Linked DNA regions of Coturnix japonica. The protein of the gene in region 1 purifies or fractionates together with the protein of each later gene. This does not show direct contact. Links are inferred from orthologs where the notes say so. Each region holds a gene or a part of one and is shown on either strand. Other genes may lie near its edges.

What was found.
Region 2: the proteins of PSMA4 (region 1) and PSME4 purify together in Homo sapiens (affinity purification with mass spectrometry; 4 studies listed by BioGRID and IntAct, with this or other methods). This does not show direct contact. The link is inferred for Coturnix japonica from reciprocal best matches to the Homo sapiens genes PSMA4 and PSME4.

What each region holds. Positions count from the first base shown.
Region 1 is NC_029525.1:2,859,631-2,863,945, reverse strand, and holds the start of PSMA4 (proteasome subunit alpha type-4), read left to right. Parts: upstream 1-1,459; 5' UTR 1,460-1,577; intron 1,578-1,792; 5' UTR 1,793-1,817; coding exon 1,818-1,820; intron 1,821-1,984; coding exon 1,985-2,027; intron 2,028-2,049; exon of another isoform or gene 2,050-2,141; intron 2,142-2,723; coding exon 2,724-2,886; intron 2,887-4,120; coding exon 4,121-4,198; intron 4,199-4,315. Other genes in the region: HYKK (hydroxylysine kinase), read left to right, coding at 595-778, 890-1,353. UniProt on the Homo sapiens protein: Component of the 20S core proteasome complex involved in the proteolytic degradation of most intracellular proteins. This complex plays numerous essential roles within the cell by associating with different regulatory particles.
Region 2 is NC_029518.1:4,768,885-4,773,126, forward strand, and holds the start of PSME4 (proteasome activator complex subunit 4), read right to left. Parts: upstream 2,824-4,242; 5' UTR 2,776-2,823; coding exon 2,600-2,775; intron 1-2,599. UniProt on the Homo sapiens protein: Associated component of the proteasome that specifically recognizes acetylated histones and promotes ATP- and ubiquitin-independent degradation of core histones during spermatogenesis and DNA damage response.

The DNA of each region.
Region 1 (4,315 bases):
CAGCAGCTCTGCCAAGCACTTCTGTCTTAACAACACTGTATGTGCCAGATGGTTCTGTGGCTCGACTCTTTAAACGCACAGAGTGCATCTGTGCCAGTTTTTGTCTCTTCTGCTCCAGCAGCTTCTATAGCACCAGCTGCAGAATCCAGCTGTGTGACTGCAGCTTTGGCAGGGCCTCCATGCAACAGCATCCCTGTCACACTGCAGGAAGTCACCATTGATTTGAAGCGATTTGGAGACAAAGGGTTTAGGATAATCTATACGGGAAGAATGGAGGAAAACCATTCAGGTTTTATGTAGGTATTGATAGGCTTATAATAGTCTTATTGTTCAATGGAACAGGTTGCCCAAGGAGGCTGTGGATCCCCATCCCTGCAGGATTCAAGGCCAGGCTGGATGTGGCTCTGGGCAGCCTGAGCTGCTGGTTGGTGACCCTGCACACAGCAGGGGGTTGGAACCAGATGGTCATTGTGCTCCTTTTCAACCCAGGCCATTCTGTGATTCTATGATGAAATAATCCTTCAGACTCTACTTTTACTTGTCGGTATTCAGCACAGATTTTAACTCATGGCCTGTTTTGTTCTGTTCCCGCAGAAGTTCCATCACCCATCAGTAGCAAGTCTGCATCGAGCTCAGTTCATCTGGAACCTGGCTAACGTCCCCCTGCTGGATCAGTACGTGGGCGCCTTGGGCCAGAACCAGCACCGGGCTGTTGTGGAATGGGTCATCCAGCAGTTCAGGGAGGAAGTCACGCCCAAGATAAGCAGCTTTCGAGCTTGTGAGTGTTTTATTCTCAATCACGTCACAGTTTGTTCCAGGAGATCGGGGTCGCAGCCAAGGAAACACCTTAGTTATTAGTTATTAAGTACCGTTTGTCGCTCCCGTGTAGGTATCAACCACGGGGACCTCAACGACCACAACATCCTGGTGGTTCCCTGCTCTCCGCACGGGGCGACCCCGCGGTACCGCGTGTCGGGCGTGCTGGACTTCAGCGACATGAGCTACGGCTGTTACGTGTTCGAGTTGGCCATCGCCATCATGTACATGATGATCGAGAGCTCCGAGCCGCTCCGTGTGGGCGGCCACATCCTGGCGGGCTTCGAGAGCGTGCAGCCGCTGTCGGCCGCGGAGCGGGCCGCGCTCTTCATGCTCGTGTGCGGCCGCTTCGCGCAGTCGCTCGTCATGGCGGCACACACGGCGCTGCTGTACCCGGAGAACGCCGAGTACCTGATGGTCACGGCCAGGACGGGCTGGAAGCACCTGACGGACATGTGTGCGCGGGGCCGGGAGGCGGTGGAGAAGGTGTGGTTCGATACGGCCGCGCTGTACGCGACGAGAGGTACCGCCCCGTGAGGCGGGGCTGCAATAAACATGGCGGCGCTGCCATAAACATGGCGGAGCCGCGCTCCTTCCGCACAGCGGCGCCATTGGGACCGCGAGGTCACGTGGGGGTGACGCACTGCGCAGGCGCGGCCGCCATTTCCGACGCGCGGTGCCGGTGCCGAGGTTGTGCAGCGCCCGGTGTAACCGCCCGTTGTTCCTCAGCGCCGCTTCGGCACAGCGCGATACCGGCCGCTGTGAGTGAGGGGGGGGAGGGAGCGGGAGGGCGGGTGAGAGCAGGGGCCGAGGGGCGGGCGGTGCGGCCTTGGTGCCCCCTTCGGCTGTGTGAGGATGACTCCGCACTCCGGGCCCGGGGCGCTCGGTGCTGCAGGCGGGGATGGGGCGGGTCGCTCTGTGCTCGGGGCCGTGTGGGATCACCCGGCTCACCTTAACGCGCTGTGCTGTTTTGCAGGCCCGCTCCGCGCCGCTCCGGCACCATGGTGAGTGTGTGTGTGTGAGTGTGTGCGAGGGCCGCGGGTGGGGGGGCGGTACCGACATTGCACCTCAGCACGGGGCTGTTGTGGGGCCGCCTCGGAGCTGCTCCTGTTGGGTGCGGTGTTGGGGAGGACGGTGACGGGCCTTAACGAGCTGTTGCTTCTTGCAGTCTCGAAGATATGACTCCAGAACCACCATATTTTCTCCGGAAGGTACTTTGTAACCCTACGCTTCTAATTAAACCGTCTGCCTGCCGTTCCTCCTCTCAGACGTAACACGTAAATCCCAGGGCCGGTTGGTTGCTGGCAGTGTGTGTCCATCCCCGTGTGAGTTGCACAGACCGTATTCACCTGTCAGAATAGCCCTGTGTGCACACCACAGCCACACAGCGAAGGCTTCCCAGTCCTCATCTAATCCAGGCATCGGTGTGATCACACCCCATTCACACCTGTGGATTTGCACCACATTCCACTGCTCAAAGAGTTCCTTAATAAGTCACTGCCCTTCACCTTTCCTTGGAGCATGGATGGATTTTGTTACTGTTCTGTTACTGTTAGTGCTGCTGTGATTTGTTACAAGTCATGTTTTTTGTCTTAAGAGACAACCTGTCCAGTATCAATGATTCCATTGTTTTTTTTAAAGCCCATTTTGACTTTCTTCCAAAGTACATCTACTCTTTAAACTGTAATTCTTCTCTGCACTAATTACACCCATGATTACCTTATCAAGATAGGGCACTTTTCTGTTTCTGCACTTGTTTCTAAAAACTCATTTGCTGGCCCCAGCCCAAGGAACGAGTCCTAAACTGTAAAATGGGCATCTGTGTAACTCCTGCAAATTCACCTTTCCTTATATATGGTCTCATTCAGTGCTGCCTTATCAGTGTTGTGATGTAACTCGTTTCCTAGGCCGCTTGTACCAGGTGGAATATGCCATGGAGGCAATAGGGCACGCAGGTACTTGCTTGGGCATCCTGGCCAACGACGGCGTCCTGCTGGCTGCAGAGAGGCGCAACATTCATAAGCTGCTCGATGAAGTTTTCTTCTCAGAAAAAATCTACAAACTGAACGAGTAAGTTGCAGTGATGTCTGTCTGGCTGCTGGTGCTACCTGTGCCTAAGTACTGTTGTTACTCAAGCATTTTAGCACTGAACCTGGATTTGTTTTGTTTGGAGGGTTTGTATGAGTTTTATGCCGTGTTCCAGGCATCCAGGGCTGTTGTATTGTTATTTGCTTCAGTGATTTTTCTGAAGAAGCATCATGTTTTTATTTCCGAAGAGAACTTCTTATATGCAATAACCTGTTGGTACTTACCCATACCGGGTAATGATATTACATCAATATTAAATTGGCAGTTCTTGGTTTACAGAATAACAAGAGGAAGGAAATAGAGAATGCACAAATCCAAGCACTGTATCAGCTCAGCATTCCCTTTTAAGTCTCTTTTTTTCTGTTGTGATTCAGAGACTGAAACAAATTGGATAAAACCTGCTTTGGCTTATTTTGCTGCAGCTGTAGCAGAGATGCTTATCTCACTGCTCTGAGCTTCTTAGCTTCTCCAGAAGTTCAGTGTTACTCTGTCTTGCCTGTAGGGGAGGTGGAGCTTCAGCCTTGCTGTAAGGTGCATTGTGAAACACGAGCAGTAGGTTTTCATCTGTCAGTCTCCCATGCTGTGTTATCCTGAAGGCAGCTGGAGCTGGATTTTCAAGGAGGTGATGTAAGAAGTGCACTGGAGTAGCTGCCCAGGCCAGCTGTTCTGAGGAACTGCTAAGATAACAACTGCCAGTTATGGTCTGTGTACTGAAAGCTCTGTGGCAATATGAGGTTTGGCAAAGATCTGCTAAATTAAGAGCTAATAAAACAATTACAACAAAGATGAATTTTCAGCTAAAGCAGTTACTTTTCTAATGGCTGGTATCACTAAATTATGTTCATATGAATGCAGTCAGCAGATTGCACTGAGGGTCCATATGGGTTCTGATATGGTCAGCGCCTGGCCTCTATGTGGGTCCTGCTGTGTAGCCAGTGCCTCTTGTGAGTGTCAGCACTGTTAATCATTTTGGTATGGTCCTCAGCTGCATGCCAACGATGTGCTGACCTGCTTATTTCCCACTATCTGCCTCTGCTCTTGCAATATGGTTGTGTCAGACTTAGATTGTACTCTAGAAGCAGGATCAGTCTGTTCTACCCAGCAGCTGTGCAGTTTTGATGATAGAAGCCCAGCAGTAGGCATTCTGTTTGAAGTGCTGTATGAAGATGTGACTGTTTCTTGGAGACTGGTAGGAATCCGTATGTTCCTTTTGCAGGGATATGGCTTGCAGCGTTGCAGGAATAACTTCAGATGCCAACGTTCTAACAAATGAGCTGAGACTGATTGCACAGAGGTAGGTTGGCTGGTAGTTATGGGGGTTTGCTTAATTCTGAGTTGGATTCAGTCTATGTATTAAATCAGTACACACTCAGAACAAGTAGATTTTTTTTTGAAGCCTCTGTTTTATTGT
Region 2 (4,242 bases), on another chromosome or scaffold:
AACCTCTCGCTCCACAACTACAATAGGCCTATTTTTAGGATATGAACTCTCGTATCAAGTGGACATCCTAAATTATCCTAGAAGTTGGCTGCCCTACTGGAGTTAAAATTACCTTCACTTATGAAGCTGAATAGAGCTCTCTTGAATTCCTAGCTATCTGCTTTCACTTTCTAACACATAGGACAGCATTATGATTGGCCTAAAACTCAGGATTTGGCAAACTGCATTGAAAACAATAACTCACGCTCACTGAAACCACTCAAATCAGTTGCTATGTGCACATACAGTGTACACATACCACTACATACCCAAAAGGAAGGCTTATATTTTTCTGTTAATGATGGAAGAGAAACAGCTAGGGGAAAAAATAATTACATTGTGACAGCAATTAAAATACTTCAGCAGGTCCCACTGAGAGGCCGCCATCCCCAAAGCAGCTGAGATACATTTTCTCATACCTCGCACCTAAATGTCATCTTGTAACAGACAAACACACAGAATGCCAAAGCCAGGAACAGAAGCCCTGACCCTCAGCTCTAAAAAAATCCACCCTCACCTACTGGAGCAGAAAGCACAGGACAATACTTGTGTGCTTTTCAGGCTGCAAAGTCAACTGAATGTGCTTAATTGCTCATACTGCACACACATGCACATCTACAGGCTATGCCCTAAAAGAAAACCTACAGTTTCAACACTAGACATAAAGAAGCGAATAAAATTGAAATAGCAATCTACTTTTGACCTATGAAACAACAAAAGTATGATGCAAGTCCATTTAAACAAATGATTTTGATGCAACGTGCTCTGTTGGGTTTTTTTTGGGTTTTTTTTTTTTTTTGGGACACTGTAGCAAGTTATACAACAGCTGACATTTGGTTTTCTGCTTTCACAACAGGATTAGTGTTTTATAAGATACAGATTTTACCAGCCAAAGTTTGGGGAGTCTCGGGGTAATGATTACATTTGAGTGCCAGCCTTTGAGGCAAGCGCTTTCCCTTGCACAAGGAGTCTCATTGAGTCATAAGTTACTTAAGTAGCTGTCTTCACAAGGCAAAGCTGTCTTGCTACACACTCTGCATACACATCCCACCAAAGGATTCATTTACATGGCTCGATGTTACACATAAAATGCAAATTATGCAAATTAGATTTTAGATTACAGGCATTTTATCTGATAAGGGCCATTTTTGCTCTTCCCCCCCCCCCCCATCTCAGTTCATGACATCAGCAAGACAAGAAAGCTCCTTTTAAGATAACAATGTGCAAGTCATGCTCTCAACTGCTGAGAGTATAAGAACTATGAGACCTTGGGGTCAGCTGTCATCCCAAAGTAAGAAAACAGACACTGATCTCAAATTCTTAATCCAAAAAAGACTGGAGGTTCACTTTCACTCTTTGTACCAGACTTAATTCCCAGCTGTAGGAAGTTACAGAGCACCTGAGAAGGCACAACAACACTAGTGTACTAACCTCAGAACACGATATAGTTGGGAAATGTTTCATCTAGGCCTAAGCTTAGAGCTTAAGCCCGCAGAACAACTCTGTCAAGTTCAGCTGAGGAGCAAAACACCTCTCATGTTCGGTACAGGCTTATTTTTAAACCAGTGCCACTGTTTCCTTCCCTGCCTGTGACCACACATGCTCCAAGGCACAGAACGGGCCAGAAAGAAATCTTTGGACTAAGAGGCATCAGACAAGTTGCACAACACACAATGAATTCAAACTTCAAAGAGCAGGTGGGAAACCACAAATTAGAGCCTCCTGACGTTCCTTGTGATTCACACAGTGGCAGCTCACGGCAGGTTAAAATCAGTGCCCTAAAGCTTAAACTGCTAACGGTCACGGCAATGACAGGACGTGGGGTAATTCTAACACAACGCCACACAGTTTGTAAGGATTTACGTGCCACTTTTAGCTCAGGTGCCTCATGTAGACCTTTATCTTCATAACAGCAGCTCACTTCAGCTGTGTTCGTATGTACAACTTCAACGAGGCAAACGAAAGCAGGAGGAGCTCCCCGATGGGGGCAGGGGGGGGTCACAAAGCAGGGCTGAGCTGCTTCCAAGGAGGCTAAACTGTCACATAGCGAAAGCACGTGAGTCATTTTGAAACCACCGACGTAGCTCTATCTAAGAATGACTCCTGGCAAACAGAATGAGTTCAGTATGTACGCACCGAACAGATCTGAATGTGCAATGGAGAACCCCTATTTATCAACAAGACCATTAAAAGGAAAAGGGCAGAAATGAGAATTCCACGAGAGGCTTTAGGACTCTGTGAGGACACAGCTCGTCATTGCTGGCACAAACACGCCAAATTACGGAAATACGTTTACCAGTGAAGTCAGGACACTGCTCACACAGCGCTGAGCCACGGCACAACTCACAGAGATAACGCCTTGCACCGCCCGCTCGGAAAGGCGAGAGGTCAGGCAGGTGACAAGCAGGGAGCACACAACCAAACAAAGGCGGTTTCGGACAAAATAACCGGCTAAGAAAATCCCGTTCCGATCCGCAGCGCTCGCACGGTTCCGTTGCCCAGCTTTGTCCCTCCGCCCCAGGCCGCCCGCGCCCCCCGCGGCCCCGCGCCGAGCACTCACGTGGAGAGTTTCCTGGTCCAGAACAGCCCCCCGGGCCACAGCTCCTGCAGCTGCACGGCCCGCGCCAGGTTGCCTTTGATCTGCGCGAGGAAGCGGGCCGCCTCGGCCTCCAGGCGCTCTCCGTAGGGCAGTAGTTTGTTGTAGACGATTTCCTTCTGCGGCGGCGGTAGCGCCATGGCCGGCCCCGCGCTGCCCGCCCGCCCGCTCGCCCCCACCCCCCTCCGGGCTCCGGCAGCACCGCGCCGTGCGGAACCCACTGCGAGCCAGCAAACGGCCAACGACCGCCCGCCCCGCCCCGCTCGCTTCCGGCGGAAGGCGGGGGCTGAGGGCGGTTCCCGCTCGGCGGAGCGCTTCCTCCGGTCGGGGCCGGGGCCCGTTAGCGCCCCGCGGCTGCGGTGTGGGGTGCCGCCATTTCGCGACAGCCGCCCCGTGACGGGCTGCGGGCTCCGGGCAGCGCCCGCAACTTGTGCGTGCCGGGCGTAGCGGCTGTGCAGCGGCGCTGGGGAAAGGCCCTCGCTCCCACTCGAGTTCAGAATTCACTGTGTGTGGTTTTGCGGTTCATTACAGAGCTCTGCTGTAAAGCAGCAGGGATCCCCACAGACGAGGCATAACGCCGTTCTTCCACCGCCCGCAACGACTGACCTGAACGTCAGTCACAGGAACGCTGAATTGGGGATGTTGGAAAGACTTCTTAAGGTCACCCAGTCCGACCCCAGCCCACCCCACCGTGCCCACTGCCCACGTCCCTCAGTGCCACATCCCCACGGCTCTGGGACACCTCCATGGACGGTGACCCCACCACTCCTGTGCAGCTGTGCCACTGCATCACCGCTCTGTGGAGAAGGAATTGTTCTAACAGCCAACATGAACCTCCCCTGGCACAACGTGAGGCCATCCCCTCTTTTCCTTGCCCCAAAGACCTGATGTGAAACCGGGTATGGAGTTTGTGATGGGACTAATTAGTCACGGGGTCTGATAGCAGATTGTGTGGCTGCCTAAGAAGCTTATAGCAAATAATAACGCTTGTCAGTGAGACAGAGCTTGGCAGTGCCTGGTCCTGCCGTTGGCCTCTGTGGGTGCTGGATAAAGCTGCGATGAATGTGTGATAACAAGCAGTGCTGATAGCTGTTATCTCCAGCTGTCTCCTAAATATAATTGTTAATTGAATTTCCCCTCAAGAATTACATCGGGACCATTGAACAGCTGCAAGCTCATTAGATATAAAGCAACTGACAAGGGCAAATCCTATTTTCTGGTCTTTACATTCAAACTAGCCCTGTTAATAAAAGAAGAAACAGTTAACTAAACGCTGAAAAATACCACAAAGAGAAGAAATGCAACCAAACATCTGTGTGCAATAAAGCCGTGATGCTCAGGTGTTCTCATAGCGTTTTCCTGGGGAGCGCATTTGTACCATATTGTCACTACGTGGGCCAGGAGCTGGGTGTGATGATCCTTATGACTCCCTTCCTACTCAAGATGTTCCATGTTTCTCTGATCCTACACACATTTTGTACCACCCGCTGGATTTATAGCCACTCCAGTGCAGCAGGAAATGATCCAGCATGTGACCCATGCACCAGTTTGAACACTACCTCTACTTACAGCCATCACCAAATAGTCACAACAAGTGCTGTCACTTT